Linked DNA regions of Arabidopsis thaliana. The protein of the gene in region 2 interacts with the protein of the main gene of each other region in a pairwise test. Each region holds a gene or a part of one and is shown on either strand. Other genes may lie near its edges. The genes, in order: AT5G03345, AT5G11870, AT3G66654 and AT3G28220.

The links.
Region 1: the proteins of AT5G11870 (region 2) and AT5G03345 interact in a protein complementation assay, tested with the Arabidopsis thaliana proteins (one large-scale study listed by BioGRID).
Region 3: the proteins of AT5G11870 (region 2) and AT3G66654 interact in a protein complementation assay, tested with the Arabidopsis thaliana proteins (one large-scale study listed by BioGRID).
Region 4: the proteins of AT5G11870 (region 2) and AT3G28220 interact in a protein complementation assay, tested with the Arabidopsis thaliana proteins (one large-scale study listed by BioGRID).

Annotation. Positions count from the first base shown.
Region 1 is NC_003076.8:812,114-816,143, reverse strand, and holds AT5G03345 (membrane magnesium transporter-like protein), read right to left. Parts: upstream 2,060-4,030; 5' UTR 1,949-2,059; coding exon 1,872-1,948; intron 1,775-1,871; coding exon of another isoform or gene 1,771-1,774; coding exon 1,722-1,770; intron 1,621-1,721; coding exon 1,429-1,620; 3' UTR 837-1,428; intron 754-836; coding exon of another isoform or gene 666-753; 3' UTR 525-665; downstream 1-524. Other genes in the region: AT5G03350 (Legume lectin family protein), read left to right, coding at 1-340; AtCDC48C (ATPase, AAA-type, CDC48 protein), read left to right, coding at 3,011-3,039, 3,186-3,348, 3,608-3,836, 3,936-4,030. UniProt on the Arabidopsis thaliana protein: Mediates Mg(2+) transport.
Region 2 is NC_003076.8:3,823,639-3,828,122, forward strand, and holds AT5G11870 (Alkaline phytoceramidase (aPHC)), read left to right. Parts: upstream 1-1,781; 5' UTR 1,782-2,081; coding exon 2,082-2,241; intron 2,242-2,350; coding exon 2,351-2,450; intron 2,451-2,520; coding exon 2,521-2,641; intron 2,642-3,014; coding exon 3,015-3,136; intron 3,137-3,239; coding exon 3,240-3,361; intron 3,362-3,439; coding exon 3,440-3,599; coding exon of another isoform or gene 3,600-3,603; exon of another isoform or gene 3,604-3,697; coding exon 3,698-3,725; 3' UTR 3,726-3,935; downstream 3,936-4,484. Other genes in the region: AT5G11880 (Pyridoxal-dependent decarboxylase family protein), read right to left, coding at 4,168-4,248, 4,346-4,435.
Region 3 is NC_003074.8:2,086,277-2,091,100, reverse strand, and holds AT3G66654 (Cyclophilin-like peptidyl-prolyl cis-trans isomerase family protein), read right to left. Parts: upstream 3,186-4,824; 5' UTR 2,918-3,185; exon of another isoform or gene 2,453-2,917; 5' UTR 2,408-2,452; coding exon 2,256-2,407; intron 2,140-2,255; coding exon 2,094-2,139; intron 1,970-2,093; coding exon 1,919-1,969; intron 1,746-1,918; coding exon 1,660-1,745; intron 1,363-1,659; coding exon 1,225-1,362; intron 1,128-1,224; coding exon 977-1,127; intron 891-976; coding exon 804-890; 3' UTR 560-803; downstream 1-559. Other genes in the region: AT3G66652 (fip1 motif-containing protein), read right to left, coding at 3,545-3,892, 4,138-4,824. UniProt on the Arabidopsis thaliana protein: PPIases accelerate the folding of proteins. It catalyzes the cis-trans isomerization of proline imidic peptide bonds in oligopeptides.
Region 4 is NC_003074.8:10,522,435-10,527,263, reverse strand, and holds AT3G28220 (TRAF-like family protein), read right to left. Parts: upstream 3,084-4,829; 5' UTR 2,845-3,083; coding exon 2,504-2,844; intron 2,407-2,503; coding exon 2,234-2,406; intron 2,063-2,233; coding exon 1,780-2,062; intron 1,176-1,779; coding exon 1,018-1,175; intron 925-1,017; coding exon 767-924; 3' UTR 531-766; downstream 1-530. Other genes in the region: AT3G28216 (uncharacterized protein), read left to right, coding at 3,840-3,986.

The DNA.
Region 1 (4,030 bases), 3.0 Mb from region 2:
GATTAATATCAACTCTGTTACTTCCGTTGTTGCTGAGAAAGCTGGTTATTGGGTTCAGACAGGAATTGGGAAAATGAAACACTGGTCGTTTAAAGAGTTCAAGCTGAGTAATGGAGAGAGGTACAAGGCTTGGATTGAGTATAGAAACTCCAAGGTTACAGTTACTCTCGCGCCAGAAACCGTTAAGAAACCTAAGAAGCCTTTGATCGTTGCCCATTTAGATCTCTCTAAGGTTTTTCTTCAAAATATGTACCCCGGTTTTTCTGGTGCCATGGGCCGTGGCGTTGAACGTCATGACATTTGGAGTTGGACCTTCCAGAACAGTGCCAAGAGAATCTAAACCGGTTCTGTTCGGTTATGCTTTTTCTAATGTATCAGAAAGTTGTAACCGGAATGAATAAAATAGCAAATTTTGTTGTTTTAATTGTTTGTATTTGACTATTTACACAGTATCCTATCCTGCTAGGACCTGTGCACTTGTTGTTATGTTGATTCTTCATTCTAAAAGATTCTAAGTAGAGACCTGACACACAGAAACATCACAAGACTCGTTTCAAGAATCAAAAATTGATGCAAAGCAGAGTAGTTACTTAGAGTAGAATTTCAATGGAAACATCTCATAACATTACACAGATCAGTGTTTGACTAAGCAGTGTGATAAAAATTCAAAACTTCATGTCGATCTGCGGTGGGAACAGTCTGCCACGGTGATTGAATATCATGAAATCCGAATTATCTGGTAAAAACACCGCCCTGCAAATTTTTTGAAAGAAACCAGTTAACAGGAGATATTCACTTTATCTAGCAAAAGCCAAACTCAAAACCAATTCAAGAACCTAATGTACAAAAAGGTAGGGGAGAGGCTGCGACATAGAAGGAACCAAAGTGGGTCTAAAGAGCCAATGAAACAAATATAAACTGATTGAATTAGCCAGGAGCAGAACTGGTTAAAGCTCTTGAAACCCATAATCGTAACTGGACCAAATATAAACTAGAAAATGTCCCTTTGAATGTCCTGCATTTTAGAAAACCTTAGCTGCACAAAGTATTAAAGAAACATCAATGTTTGACCTAGAACATCTCTAGACGACAGTTTCTTATCAATAAACATGAGTCTTTGGTGGTCATTCAATCATCGGGAAATATAATAACTACCAAATTTCCATGTTTCAGATTGATAAACACTGATGCACAACAGAGAGTTAAAGAGACATCAAAACTAGACCCTCGAAACATCTCTAGAGCACAAGTTCTTTGAATCAATTGATTAACAACACATCCGTAAACCTTCTCAGTCAAAAGAAAACATATTCACTAGAAACACCCATGATTAAACTGAATAATTGAACCAAATCTAGCCAGAAGATGCTTCTATAAGACCCGTAGTAACTCTACACCAAGTTCAACAAAGTACGAACAGAGAAAAATTCAATAGTAAAAACACTCACTAGATAACATGAATTCAGATTGATTAACACTGATGCAAAACAGAGAGTTCGAGAGAAACATGATCACAAACCTGTTTTCATCAGAATCCGGATGGATCGAGAGAAATTTACCAGGGAAAGTCAAAGCAGCCCACATACACAGAGCTAGTCCAATGATCAACTCCAGAATAACCTTAAATAAATCCAATCATGATTCATATAAAAGCATAATCATTGCTGATATAATTCAAACACAATTGAGGAAAAGAGAAACCGTTATCATTATATACTCACATTAATCGGTGGTCGAGAAAACTCTTCCTCCATAATCTTCAACAATCCTCTATCTGAAATAAACAAGAGAAACCCAAATCAAGATCCTATCTCGAAAATTAAAGTAGATCTGACTCAATTGGAACTGGAATTGGATTGGGAAGAGTAGACATACATTGGATTGTTGAATAAGCGGCATGAGAAAGAATAAGAACGCCGAAAACTCCAACTAAGAACCCCAAATTCATCTTTAGAAGTTCTCTTTTTTAATTTTCTTCTTCTCTAAGTTGATTCCCGATCTGGATTTTCTCGTCGAGTATTCTCCGTCGAGAATCGAACTAGAATAGAAGACGATCAGTGGAGTTTAAAACGGCATGTAGTTATAATATCGCAAATCTCAAAGTGAAAACGGCGCAACGTCTAATATCGAAGAGACTAACAACGGCGCGTAGTTCTAGATTGATGATATCCTAGATTCCTATTAATCTTTTGTAACCCAAACTTTTTTTTAAGTAACTAATATTTTTAATTAGATGAAAGTTCAGTTAGTTTGATAACTTTTTTACAACAATAAGGGTTTATCTTTTGGGAAAATAATTATTTTTTCGTATAATAAATAATTATGAATATTTATTTAGAATTTCATATTGATGATATATTCATATGCAAACAAAAATTTCTGCAATTATTGAATTGAATCGTATGTTGATAACTTCGTATAAAAAAAACGGAAATCTATTTTAGAACAAAGAAATCAAATGGTAAGATATTAAATTTCTATTTATAAAAAAGTAAGAAAAACATGTAGCTTGCTTTGGTACCGCTACCTAAGAACCTTCTATTCCTTTCTTGTGTTTGCTAAAACCAGAAAGTAAAACTGTTATCCTCACCTCTCTTTTACTTTTATTTTCAACTTTCCCCCATAACGTTTTTAATAAACATTTACGTACCCTCGCCACACTATTAAAATAAGTTTAAAATTACATCAAATTTTTTAATTCTTCATATAGGTAGATTTTTGTTTTGATTCTCGATAAATCATATAATAATATAAATTAATTGATATGATGTTAAGGGAACATGGGTGTATTTATCACAACACCTAGTTTTTGGAACTTTTCAAGATAAACTTAAAAGTTAAGGGTCGCTTATTTTTCCAACAAGAAGGAAATCACAGAGCGTATAAAATCCCGAGTTCAGCTCCCTTGAGATCCCATTCATCATCATCATCATCATCACCAATCGATCTCTCTAGAAACAAATTTCCCAACTTCCTTCTTAGAGCTCTCTTGTCAGTTTAAGCTATCATTATGTCAAACGAACCGGAATCCTCCGACTCGTAAGTACTTAGATCTTTGATTTTTGTTTTCCGATCATAAAGTTTCGATTTTTTTACTTGGGTTTTTCGATATTGAGAATAGGGTTTTTTAGTTTGATCTCATCTGAAAGCTGATTTTGTTTGTCTTCCTGGGGTATTTGTTTCAGGAAAACTAAGAAGGATTTCAGTACTGCGATTCTAGAGAGGAAGAAGTCTCCAAACCGACTTGTTGTCGATGAAGCTATTAACGATGACAACTCTGTTGTCTCTCTCCATCCTACTACCATGGAAAAACTCCAGCTTTTCCGAGGCGATACAATTCTCATCAAGGTTAGGTTTTGTTCCTTATGTCACTATGTTAGGGTGTTTTGAGTTTAGACTTGGTTTGGATCGTCTGTGTCTTGACTGTATATCACGAGCATGTTGTAAACATATTCAGTTATGTTTTTTACTTTGTCTGATCTTGTAAACATATTCAGTTAGGGTACAACTTTTTTGTCTGAAGTTTTTTTTTTTGAGTTTAGAATTGGTTTGGATTGTTCTTTTTATCTCTGTGATTACTTACTTGATTGGGGTTTTGGATTTTCAGGGTAAGAAGAGGAAGGACACTGTATGCATTGCCCTCGCTGATGAAACATGTGAGGAACCCAAGATCAGAATGAATAAGGTTGTAAGGTCTAACTTGAGGGTTAGGCTGGGAGATGTTATTTCTGTTCACCAATGCCCAGATGTCAAGTATGGAAAGCGTGTTCACATCTTGCCTGTTGATGATACAGTTGAAGGCGTTACTGGAAACCTCTTTGATGCTTACCTGAAACGTAAGTTTGCTTTAATCTTTTGATTCTCTCTTTCATATCATAGTCTAGCTTGTCTTTTGGAGTTCGTGTTTTCTAAACTTATATTGTTTTTTTCACCAGCTTACTTTCTGGAGGCGTACCGTCCAGTGAGGAAGGGAGATCTTTTCCTAGTGAGAGGAGGAATGAGGAGTGTGGAGTTCAAAGTGATCGAGACT
Region 2 (4,484 bases):
ATTACAAACAACTAGCTCATACACTATCTGAGAACGAAAACAGATCTTGGATTAGAAAAGGAGCAAAGCCCTAGATACAATTCACAAAGAAGGAACCAAAACAAAAAAGTACCCAGATTTAAAATATTTGAAAGATAAAAACTTTGGAGCCAAAAGAAGCAAAATTCGAAAACTTTTCATCGCGGAAAGTGACAGAAATCAATATTTTAAGAAAGAGAACCGAACCGGAACTGAAACCCACGAAATCGATTTCAGATAATTTTCAATTTTGATATATATATCTAGGGCTTTTAATACGAAAAAAGGGGGGAAAAAAGACATGTGGAAAAATCAAAGCTTTTTACTGGGATAAACGATGGATAAATCTAATCTTTCCGCTTTCTCCGCAAATTTCTCTGCAAATTTCAAAATTTCTTCAACGAAGCGCACACCTAGATTAAACTTCAGTAGCCCAGAAATTCGAGCTGAGATTGAAGAGCTAAGAAGAAGAAACGGAGAGGGAGAGAGAGAAAAAAGAAAACCCTAGAGAGAGTATATTCGTCGGAAAAAAGTACCTCCGATCAAAAACGATTTCTTCTAGCTTCCGTCTTCTTCTCTCTCTCTCTTCGAAATAAAAGAGTAAAATATTTGCTCGAAATGAATGACAGACGACTATAGTCTACATAAGCAATGAAATATTTCATTTAAATGCCCTCATACTTTATTAATATTTCATTAGTAACCTCGATAGTTTTTGATTTGTTAAACTAAACCCCAAACATTCGAAGAGTATTAGGCCGGTAAATGATGACGTCATCTCCGGTTGGAGGATAGTACAACGATGCCGTAGAGAACTAGAGAAGTGTCTTTTTCTTAAAAAGGAACCTTCTGTTTTTTACAAATTGAACATGCATGTTATGGATTATTGGAATAAAAAAAACGTTTTGAAGACTTTTGAATATTTTCTTTGAAAAATGAAATTATACAAGATTATGTGACTTGATTAGATTTGATGTTACAAGTTAAGTTGGTTTAGAATAATCTTTGTTTAGTACTACTATATATAGGATGATCTATTTTTCATTGGTTATAGCTAGAATGCTATATAGAATTGTGGAATGTTGTTTCATGTCATGATTATGCAGATTTATTACCAAACACATAAAAGATTAAGAGGTATGACATGAATGACGTGTTCTGCTGATTATGTTTACGACGAAATCCAAATAAAAGACAATTTGATCCAACACAAACTGAAAAACACTCAACCTGCCAATATTATTCAAAGAAATGAACAACATCAAACTTGTATTCAAGCATGGCACAATGGATGATTCAGAGAGGACATGATGGCTTAAAACAACATTGATATATTTACGTTCCCAATTTGAGCTTTAGAATATATGTTTGTAATTTGAGAATACATATGATTGTTTCATCTTCTTCCCCATCTTTCTCTTATACTCTTTCGTTTTCTTGAATACTTTGTAGCATAAAGAGCATTTAGACTCTTAGTTCATTCTCTTTTGAACTTTGTCTCATGTTAATCCCATTTTTGTTTTTGTTTCATACATGGCTATCTATGTGGGTTACTTCTAAGAACTACAACAACACATCAAGGATATATAATTTAGCAATTTTCTTAGTTAACTTTTCCTTCTCCTAGAAACACTAACCAGGAAACAGTTAACTAAAACCACTCCCGCCAAGTTTTGAAACGTTGTACATATATATAGGAGTGAAAATATTACTTTCAGAAACATGGGGTGGGATATATATAAGATATAAAAATGTAAGGGGTTACTTTACAAATAAAATAGAATAGAAACAAAACGTAGACGTTTAGAGCGGTCCTCGTCAACTACGACAACATTAGAGATCGATCGTCGTCGTCGTACCCGTCAGACTCAAGGAAAAAGAAAAAAAGAGATTCCGCCGCACGTTGTTCTAATCGAAAAAAGCGACTCTCAATAAATCTGTCTTCCCTTTTCTTTCTTAAACTGGAAGAAGATTAATCAATCAGACACAACAGAGATAACTGATTTATCCACTTCAAACAATACAAACCTTTAAAGTCTTCACCTTTATAGAGAGAACTTTTAATGGTGTGGTTGACGAATCAACAGATAGGGAGATGGAAAAGGAAACGAATTTTGGTTGTGGGATCGTTCCTCTGTTGGTCAATCATCATGTTCATCACTCCCAAAGTTCCTCTCGATTCATTTCGCCATCATATCTTCGCCGATAAACGCAATTTCATGGGTATCATCATCATATCACACTCTCTCTTCTTTTTTTTTTATCTCTCTCTGTCTCTGTGCATGTGTAATAACGAGAGACAGGTGTTTTGTGTGGGTTTGATGATGAACAGGAGTGCCTAATACATTGAATGTGATGACCAACTTTCCCTTTCTTATCGTTGGAGTTCTTGGTTTTGTTCTTTGCATTGGAGGAAGCTTCTTCAACATAAGGTATCATTCTCTTTCCCTTTTTTGAGTTTTATTTTGAGTTAGTTTAACAATTTGAGTTGTTGTAATGCAGTTTAAATGGTGAGATCTGGGGATGGACACTGTTCTACGCAGGCATTGCAAGCTTGGCTTTTGGTTCTGCTTTTTATCATCTCAAACCTGATGACAACAGAATCGTCTGGGACACTTTGCCTGTTCGTTTTTCTCACTTTACTTTTCTTCGGAACATGAATCTTCTTTCAGTTATGCATTCATTGCTTCTTGATTAGTGATGCGGTAATTGTATATATTGACAAGCACATTGTGAATACAAAAAGTTGAAGAATCATCTTATAGCTATGTAAAAAAGCTTAGATTAGACTTCATGGTTTTTCTTGGATTGGTTGGTTCTACAAGCACATAGTGAAGTGAACACAACTCTTATAGCTAATGGAAAGAAGCTTTAGAGATTTTTCGGGTGTAGAGTTGTGGTTTTTGGTTTTATTGAATGGAAAGTTGTTTTTGCTCATCATTTTTGATGGTTGGTTTATGAATAGCTGTTTGTTGATTAATGACGGTAAATTGCAGATATTGATTGCGTATTCGTCGCTTTTCTCTAGTTTTTTGGTTGAGAGAGCGGGGGAGAAAGTGGGACTTAGTTGCCTCATCTTGCTTCTATTTATATCATGTCTCAGTGTTGCTTACGCCAGGTAACATTAAAACCAAGAAAGCATTACCTCCTCTGTATACATATATGTTCATGGTTTTAGTCAGGTTTCGGATTGAAATTATATGTGTCTTAGTTGATGGCAGAGTGTTTAATGATCTCCGGTTATGCATGACGTTCCAGTTGATACCGTGTCTGGTGATTCCCGTCATGGCGGTTTTGTTACCTCCCAAATATACACACTCTAGATTCTGGCTCTGGGCAACAGGTTTTTAACTCAAAACCACATTTGCGGTTTTCTTATTAGAATCCACGGTCTTCTGATATCTGCTTATCATGAATGCAGCGGCGTACACTATTGCCAAGATTGAAGGACTTGCAGACAACAAAATATACAATGCAAATCGATATATCATCAGTGGGCATTCACTGGAGCATTTGTGTTCTGCCGTGGCTACGCTTTTACTTACCATTATGCTTTTGTATAGAAGCATTCGGTTTAATAGGTAACGTTTTTTCACTGACTCTTTCTCTTTGATCTTTGAGTTCCTTGAAACCTGAGAGGATTTTTCACTTTTCTTTTGTATGATGGAAACTAAAACAGATTAGGTGATCTCAAAGGCCGTCCTTGACATTCATTACTGACTCCTCAAGTTTTTTTTCTCTTGTATTTAGATGCTTCTGGATTCTTGTATTACAAATTTTGTTTGGTTGCTAGATAGATTTTGACCCATGATCCCACTAAAACATCGTTAGCTTGGTGTAATCTTGGTTTCTGGTTCTGAAACAGCTTTGGCTTTAAGGTTACTTATTCAAGTCTTATATATGTGTTTGGACAATGGACAATTTTACATGTAGTAACTAAAAAGAAACCAAAAGAATAATCATAACTCACAAATACACCTTTTATTTTCGGTCTTGACTTGTGACCTGTTTCTTATTCATATGATCACTTTATTGAGGACTTTAAATCATAGCACAGAATGTGGAAAAATCCAAGACAGCAATAGCATTATAGAAACGTAATCATACAATTCATCTAAAATAGCAACAATGATGAGTAAATCTCGGAGTTCATAGTCCTTCAAAGAAACGTAAATGGTCATCGAATGTCTCAGCATGCCTGATCTTAGTGATCGACCCATCTTCTTCAACCTGCAAAAAGAAGAATATAAATCAATCACTTTCTCTCAGGATCTTGACCCTCCGCTAAATTTCCGCAGAAAACGATAATAAGAAACAGTATTGTTACCCAGTATTCCGGGGGACGCATCTTGAGATTGTAAGTGGAAGCCATACTCATACAGTATGCACCAGCGTCATGAACCACCAGACCAGCTCCCTGTAACGTATACAAGAAACTAATTAGATTCCATATTACTTGAGCTGCC
Region 3 (4,824 bases), on a different chromosome or scaffold from region 2:
CCAAATATTACTATGAAGATTTTCTCTTTTCAAAAACAATGAATTATAACAATATCTCCTACTCTACAAAATTGATAATGATTACGATATGAAATTTTAAAGCGTTATTTGTTTTTTTTTCTCTTATATTATTATAGATTTTGTCTACACACTCTAGATATTTATCTTTAATTAGAAAAAAATACATAAGAGTACACCAACTAATTAACATATTTATAAATGTGTTTTTAACATTTTTAAGTTTTAGTCAAAATAGTATCAAAATACATAATTTGATGTATGTCCTATATATCTTATTCCAAATTATTAAATATTACCTAAAACAAAAATACAGTATTTTTGTAATTGTATTCTATGAATAATTTAAGAATTCCTTAAGAATTGTTTAAGAATTATTTTAGAGTTTTTAAAAGAAATCTTGTAGAGATTTTTAAGAATTCTTAAAGGATTTGTTTCTGGTTTTTCAGATTGTTCTCCATATCTTCTCATATAAATTTTAAAAGACCTCTCTTTTTCTCTAATAGTTTTATGGTACTTAACGGGTATAATACAGAAGTTTTTCTATCATAACAGGATAAAATTCTCTAAAATCAGTTCATGTATTTGCTCAAGTATCAGAAGCATAATTAAACAAAGATTCTATTTCCTCGAGAAAAATCAAATAAAATTACAAAACAACAAGAAACTGTAAAATAGAAAGAAAGAAAAAACCTCAAAAGAGGATTTATACAAAAGAGCGAGTATGAAGAAGGATTTGGCGTGAGCCTCATTTACAGAGGAAGCAAGGAAGAGAAATTTTCATTTCATGTCTCTAGTTTCAGTACAACACCAGTGATCCCTATTGGCGATTTCGGTTGGAAATGCTCATCCGTATCCACTTCTTCGATCTCCTGTAATAATATGATTTAATCTTTTAACACATGAAACTATTAAACAAACCATTCAAGCTGATAGACTGTGCTTAGTTGGATCAAACCTGTACTACATCCTCTCCCTTAAGGACTCTTCCAAACACTATAAGTTGATCATTCAGATCCGGGATTGGGGCCGTTGTGATCAGAAGCTCAAAATCCTTGTTGTTCCCTTTGTTTTTTGGTGTTCCCAACATGAATGCCTCATGTTTTGGGCTGTAACAGAACATATGTAGTTTTTTATTTTTTAAAACCAGCGAGAGATGATAAACATTGACACTTAAAAGCCAAAAGCAGAGCAAGCAAGTTATACCCAATGTGAAGGCGACCTCTGAGCTTTCCTTTAGCTGTCCATTCTTCTACAGGTATAGAGCTCGGTGAGTGACCAGCTTGTACCAAGTAGTTCTTTATAACCCGCTGAAACGGCATTCCCTTGAAGTGATCTTTTTGACTGCAACAATACTCAATGTTCAACTTCTACTATTATATTAAGCTACAATATCGTCACAGACTGATTCAGCCCATTTCTCTTTAATGAGGTTTCATGTTCCAAACAAAAATTCCAAGAAGAGTACAAGAGGACTTAAGGATCAAAATCAGTCAATCAAGAAACTAAAGCTACTTGAATCCTATCAAGCTAGAAGTAATACTCCTATTTAAGAACAAGTCATGACCTAGCTTAATCAAATTACTCTACTGTTCTTTTTCTATCTAACTTAAAGGAAAACAAACGAATTCCAATACTAACCATAGATCTAGAAACTTGTCCACAACTTCAGGGGAACCTTCTTTGAAGAGTTCGACAGTTATAAGTCCTTTTGATGTGTTTATATCCTACATGAGATAGGAAAATAGAAGCAAGATATCATTAAAATCAATATTCAGATAAGACACATCACATTTTTTTTACTTCAAAAACTGATGAACAGAACATAATACCATGATGAGAAATAAGAACAAGGATTAAAACAAGAAACTTAAGCAAGCAAACAGGGAGATTAACTTACAGCAAAACCAGGAAGATCGTAAGTTTTTTGCCCTGACGCAGTATTAGTGTCCTGAAGCAGAAACCAAAGCCAGATCACATATGGTAAATACCCTAAACTCTAAACCTAAGTGCTCGGAAGTTCATCAGGATCAAAACTCAAAAGCTATACATTAAAAAATCTCTCAAGAAAATACCTCAAATCTCTGACTCCGAGTTTCATGTTCAATTGTGTTTCTTGACCTAGGAGATATAACCAATGATATCCTTTTTAGTTTATAGATAATCACATAAAGTAAAAGGAGAATCTACTATAACAGAAGTAATGAAAAAGGAACAATTCAAAGATGAAAACAAACCTTTGGGACCAATGGCGATAGGTTGTGACCAACGATAATATGACTACAGCAACTACAAGATTACAGACAATAATAGTGGAAATACTTATGCGACTTGGACCCTTCTTCTTCTTGCTTTGATTTAGAAGAGCCTGCGGTTTTATCTTCGCCATTGCACCTTAGTTTCGCAGAAAGCAAACGAGGGATACAACTTGTCTCTGCAAACCATAAATCAACAGTAAGTGACAAGCAATCCAGAAAACAAGTATACACTACACAAAAACTCCAAATTCGTATCTGTAAGACTATAATTCAATTTCAAGTTGGTAAAATCAAAACTGCAATAAGATTAAGTTGTTACCCAACTGAAGAAACCCTGATATCACGTATTGACCAGATTAAAAATCTAGCATATTTGAATGAATAAACGCATGTGAAAATATCACAAGGGTTCATACATAGCTTGACCGGTAACTTCCGATACACCAGATCCAGTACTTTTCCAATTATCGATCAAATTGAAATAAATTGAACAAAAGTGGATATGAGAAACGGAGCAGCTTATCATGTTCCAATCAAATAATAAACAGATCTTTCTTTCTATAGAAATCCAAAGACCTGAAAGTAAAATCAAATGAATTCCAAGGACTTTGATTGCTTCATTGGGTTCTCGAAAAACGTACCTGGAAGTTAGAGAGAAGAGAGGAATCGTGGAGATTGGTCGTTGCGTCGATGGAAACTGGTTTGAATTCTCTGCTCTCTTTTCTCTTTTGCAGAGACGCTTCAGATCAGCCGCGTGTTTATCCGACGGCTACGAGTCCACCTCACCAATATCCGACGAATATTATTCCACAAACAAAAATACAAAAGTTGATCATTTTTGAAAAATCGTATAGTTCGGTCTGGTTTTCTCATGAAATTATCTGGTTATCTATTTGACCCAAGAAAATGATTCTAAATTCAAAAGAAAGTAATTTTACTATGGTCTAGTGGTTATCACGTTAATCATACGGTTTCCGCCCTAATTGTCACTGGTTTGATCCTTCGCTGCATCATTTGATTTTGCATTACACATACTAAACTGTAAATATAAATAAGCATTGGTAAAAAAGTCAAATTTTCTACGTAAACACTTACAAAAGGGAAAAAAAAAATGCACAAGCAAGATCACTTAAAAAAACCCAGGTCACAGTCAATTGTTCGGTTTTGTGATTTTCTTAGCCACTTTTTAATTGATCGGTTTAGATATAGCCTACCATCAATAAACCGTTATTGTGTTAACCTGAAACAAGCCATCCAATATGATCTTTTTAACTTGCACACCATCTCCTCTTTCTAACTGGCCTCTGTTGATTAGTAACATCGGCTTTAGCTCTCAGTTCAGTTTGAGATTTGAATGTCGCTTCTACCGCCAATTTGGTTCCCTTGAACCTCTCCCTCCGTTTCTCCATCTTTTTCAGACTCTCTTGTATACGTTCATTGTCTATTTCAACACCTTTCACTTCTTCTATTATCTCGCCTTCTTCTTTGTCATTTATATCTCGATTCTGCATAGCTTTCTCTTCGCTTTTGCCCATTAACTTTCTTGGTTTCTGAACATCTTGTTGCTCGATTGTATCTCCGCCATTGGAGAATCTTTTTTTTGATTGGTTAGAGACCTGAAACACACACACAAAATATCTATCACATGAGAAGGGTCTTGTTCTTCATTGTACACTAACTGATGTCTAAATATACGGATGTGAGCAACATAAAACCTAAGTATAGAAGACAGACCATATAAAGTGATAAAACAGTCAGAAATAACACAAAGAAAATCCAGGGATATAAATAACTGAAAGGCGTTTATACTTCATTCAAATATAGGTTTAAAAGCATGTAGATTTAGTTTCCCAATCTTTACCTTTCCTTGCCTACCAGCTAAGTCAACATGATCCTGACGCTTGATGAAAGCATGCCCATCTCCTCTCAGCTTCTTGGATCTGTGATGTCTTTCATCATTTTCATGAATATGGCTCTGTAAATATCCAAACCTTTGTTTGGTCGCCATCCGATTATGTGTCGGTACTCTTATGTCGCGGACAAATATCTCATCAGTATATGATGGATGCTCAGAATTAGAAACTTCTCTCATTGAACATTGCATGTCATCTGCCATATTATATCTTCCTCTATCAGGACCAACCCAATCAGCATCATACTGTAGTCTATCTTTTACGCTCACATTATGGCTACGACCAAGATTCTGCGTCCAGCCATCTCTCGGTGCAGCCTTATGAAAATGGTTATTCTGGCTGTCATATGCTTCAGGTGTTCTGAAGTCTCTGGTATCATCTCTCCGGAAATCACCTTTTGCTTCTTTGGTATACCAAGAATCTCTCAAAGATAAAGACGGTGAGGACCAACCATCTTGGATTCTATACTTATAACCATCTTCCTCTGAGACAAATCTATCAAGATGCCAATCATGAATGTAATGATGTCTTTTCTCTATTTCAGAGAATTCCTCATGTCTTTTATACCCTTGATATTCTCTCATTTCCACTTCAGCAAAAGAACGCATCTCCCTGTACGCCAGCTCAAATGGAAT
Region 4 (4,829 bases), on a different chromosome or scaffold from region 2:
CAAAGAGCCAAAAACTGTGTGGATAGGGTTGGATTTTCCTCTTTGATTTGCTACGTACGTTTTGTCATCTCCCTTCCAAGCCTTCATCAACTAGTAGAGAGTATTTTCTTTGCTTCTTATTTATTTCCTAAAAGGAACGAGTTGTATTAGATATTGGTAATTTTGATTTGCTTATTGATGATTGTTAAAAATACAATGAAAGAAGAGTATGGATTGGTTACATAGCTTAATTTACATAGAGTATACATGGCAGATATATTATACATTATGAATTGCTTGGTAGATCTATATGTATTATATACACTACATAACCAGAGAAATAATAGAGTAACAAACAGATGAAAGAGAGCAAATAACAAAGAAGCACTCGTGAAACTTAAGAACATGATCGATGTTTATTGTTGGTGCGCAAAGCTTGTTATTATTTCAAATTACTATCATACGCGCAAACTTATTCGGTTGATTTTAGAAGTGTTATTCCACGGTTAGTGTTAGTCTTAGTCGCAGCTAGAATGAAGTAAGAACAAGAGTTTTTCAATGGTAAATTAAGACTGCTTTTATTCTTAGTTTTCATTTATTTAAATAGGAAACAAGTACAAGAAAAGCTAGCTTGGAATCAACGATTTCTACAAACTAGGGAATTGGGAAAAGTGGGAGATAGGCTCCTAAACCTTAGGAAGACCAATCCTCCAATTATTAGCACAAAAACACTTAAAAAACAGAACACAATTGGTTCCAAGCTCTCTGGTTTTGCATTATGCAAAACTTAACTTGGAAAGTATTTTGTGTTAGAGAAATCTTCAAATTCAATCTCCATCTTCAATGTATCATTCACAAGAAGACCTTTAGAAGTATCCTTAAGATCAGCAAATGGTACAAACTTCTGGAATCCCCAACTGTTTGCTTGATCCGACCAGCTTTCAACTGTCATTAAGTTAGTGTTAATTAAACTCTAAAAGAAAAAAATTAATAGAGTAAGTAACATTAGCCACACTATTATGGTTCGATATAATTTACCTTTCTTCTCCATGTGTTTAGAATCTCTCTGGTTTATAATCCGTAGCTTAGCTTTTAGGTAAATCTTGTCATACGGCTTAACATCAACCGCAACAACATATAACGACAACGAGTTACCCTGTCCTTCGCCATCGCCACTTGGATACACTTTCAAAGCCCTAAGAGTTGTATATTAAAATATTGTAAATAGTTAATTTTTTCTTGAATCAGTATTAGTAAGCCTGCGCAAATAAACCTAATCGAATGTACCGAACTAAAATCGAAACAAAATAACAGAATCGAACGGAATCAAAAATTAAAAAATAATCAAATGGATACTAAATTCTATATATAACCGAAAGAACCGAAAGAACCGAAACTAAATGGCTACGTACCAAAATATCCCGGATAACCAAAATATCTGAAATATAAATATATTTCCAAAAATATTAGTTATTTTTAAACTAAATAATTAAAAATATTAGTTATTTTTAAACTAAATAATTAAAAATATATATAAAATAGTTAAAATATTCAAAAATAATCAAAAATATCCAAAAATAACCGAAATATCCAAAAATAATTAAAATATCCGAAAATATTCAAATCAAAATAACGGAATGGATACTAAATTTAAAACCGAAAGAACCAAACCGAAATTTCAAAATAACCAAATAGATAATAACTTTAGAACCGAAAAAACCGATAACGGAATGGATAACCGAACATCCAGGACTAAGTATCAATATGTGGCTTAAAGAATTTATGACATGAGGAACTCACCAGCTTCTCCCACCGATCACGAACTTGTCAGAGACATAGTACTGTTTCTCTAGTGACGAGAAATTGGGTAACGTCCATTTGTAAAGGCGGTCATGCAAACTCTTAGTGAATGAGAACACTTCCCATTTGTTAAAAACTTCAGTGACAAATACGTCCACACCGAATAAAACATTGTCACCGTCGAAAAGCCAACCAGCATTGGGATTAGCCACGTCGGTGTAGGGTCTAACATTACCATATCCCCAATATGGTTTGAACAGAAAAAAGCGTTTTGCATCCGTCTCTGTGTACCAAGACATGCGTTTGAGATTGTGTGTTTTTAAATGCAAATTTTGGCATTTGAAACTATGCAAACTATCAGCGTCTCAATTGTTTTAAATTTAAACGTTGAAAATTTGATTAATACAATATAGTTTATAAATAAGATATAAATAGGGCGTTCGGATGTATATACCTTGATATGTTAAGTACTTGTCCTCTTTCCGGTTATAAATGAAGAATTTGACTTCTGCGTAAACTTCTTTTGGAGAGTTAAGGAGTGTTGAATTGTCTATTTGGACGTACATTGAAACGTAATTAAGTGGAGCTCCTTCCTTAATGTTTCCTTTAGGATAGACAATAAGTGTCCTGTTTGCAAAAGGATATATAGTCTTACAATCAAATGTGTCGTTGAAAATTTGTGATGCAAAGACATATGCAAAATGTAGGATAAAATACTACTTACCAGTTGTATCCACCGGATTCAAAAGGACGGGATTCGTACTTCTCGGCGTTTGGAGAAGTGGCGAATTTTATGAAAGATTCGATTTTGAGACAATAGGTAGATGGTGGGATAACTCTCCATATTTCTCTCCTATCAGATAGCTTATGGGAGGACATTGGGCTATCGATAACGGCAATGGATGATGTTGTTGTTGTTGAAGGTTGTGTTGTTACGATTTTCATGAATTGGAATGCAAAGAAACAAGAAATGAAGCAAGCCAAGCCAATTGCTCCATAGTTTGTCTTTCTCTTCTCCTCTTGAAACATGTGGTCTTCTTTTTTTATCAACCCCTTTTCAGACATGTTTGGTTAAGTGACTGAATTGGTAAGTGTGACGGTTATAATTTATAAGCAAATGACTGGAATATGTAATGGAGTTAGTTAGATATATTTATCTACACACCAAAAAGGTGAGTTAGTTATATATGTATGATGAGTACCAACATTTATTTGGTATTTAGCTTTTTTTGTTTGGTATAAAGAGTTCTTCACCACAAATATTTATAGCGGAGGATCTTTTGTGCGTTCGATAAAAGTGATAATGTTATTATGAACAAGTTATATATTCACGTGTCTTGAGATTTCACGTCGGTATAAGATGGATTGCGACCAGATAAGATTTCTTGAGTTATCGACCAGAAAAGATTTGTTCAACACGTGTTTTCAAGAAAAAGACAAAAGTTTAAGTTGTACCTAAATTTAGCATGTAACGTCAAACACTCCAGACATAGCTTTAGCTAACAACAAGAAATGGACCCAAACGCTCTACACCACAACATAGTTTTGTTCTTCTGTTCCGATCCTAGCCTCTGTTTTTGGATTTAGCTTTAGCTTTAGCTATAATGTAGAACTTCAGTAATCAATACAAAGACTAAAAACTATATTTTATTATATACGTATCAAAACTATCGATTAAATGCTTAATAATTAATTTTTAAAAAATGTTTTTATTTGTAGAAAATATTTTTTATTAATTTATAGTATAATATATAATAATATTTGAGTTTTTATTTTATAAATATCTAGAATTTATAATAAATAAATTATTAGGAATGACCTTCCAATGCTACTCATTTTTAATTCTACCCTTTCATGTAATTCATTTTCATTACTCTCTTTTAATTTTTAATAACCATATATCCTTATTTTTTTAATGTTTAAAGTTAACAAAATAAAATTGTGTTTTTCCTACCAACAATATTTCGACGATAATTTTTTCGCCAAAAATAGTTTTTTTTGTTTGTACAGACGGTAATGTTTTTACATATGATGGAGGCCAGATTCACACACTTGTGTGCATGCAAGAAAATTTTTTTAATAACATGATGGAGTCGGTGGGATTGTCTTTGTTTGGGCAAAGGATACGGTATAAGCTTCCTTTTGAGAAGTTTATAGAGCTGAACCGTTGTATACTAGAGATGATATTTTCGAGAGAATGTGTCTAGCTGCAAAGTGGACAAAAGCGGTTGTTATATTTACGGAGAAGGAATAGATTCTTGAAGAATGTAATGATGAAAAGAGCTTGTGAAAACGTCAATGGTGAGAATGCTCGAGTTTGTGATGATGGAAATGATGTTAGAGGAGGTGATGATGAGAATGACATTTTTAATGTTGGAATCCAAGCTAAAAGTCGGCCACAAAACAACTTGGTGAAGGTCTGATACGTTCATGAGAAGTTGGCACGTGTGAGAACTGAAGTGAGAGATCGGAGTCACGTGTGAAGAAACTTATAAATAGTAAGAGTCTAAGAGAGAGTAGAGAGAAAAGCATCCTTCGTGATCATATTGATGTTGTGAGTAGAATTAGGGCTTATGCATGTGCTCTGTTCTTAGGAGATAAGATTGGAGAACTGTAACTTCAAGCTTATCGATTAGGGTTTTGATTCTTTGTAATTGGATTGATAGATAAGAAATACAAAGGATTACACTTTCATTCTTATCAAGGTCCGAATCAAGTATCACAAATTTCACTTAGTGATTAATTGTGTAAAAGCTTTTGGTTTGGGAAACTTATGATGTTCAGGATGATGGTTTTAATTTGGATTATCGGATTTATGTGTAACATGATGGGATGATGGTTTTGACTATGATCTCGGCTTCAAGATATAGATTATGGTTTTTGGCTATTTGTCTTGAATTTTTAATTTGTAGGATAATGGTTTTTGTCTTGTAATTGCCTCGGGTTTGGTATGTTATATACAACATTATTATGTTATTTATTCATTACTTTTGTGGAGAAAAGAGTGATAGAGATTGCTTGGTAAGAAAATAAACAGACACAGAAATTGG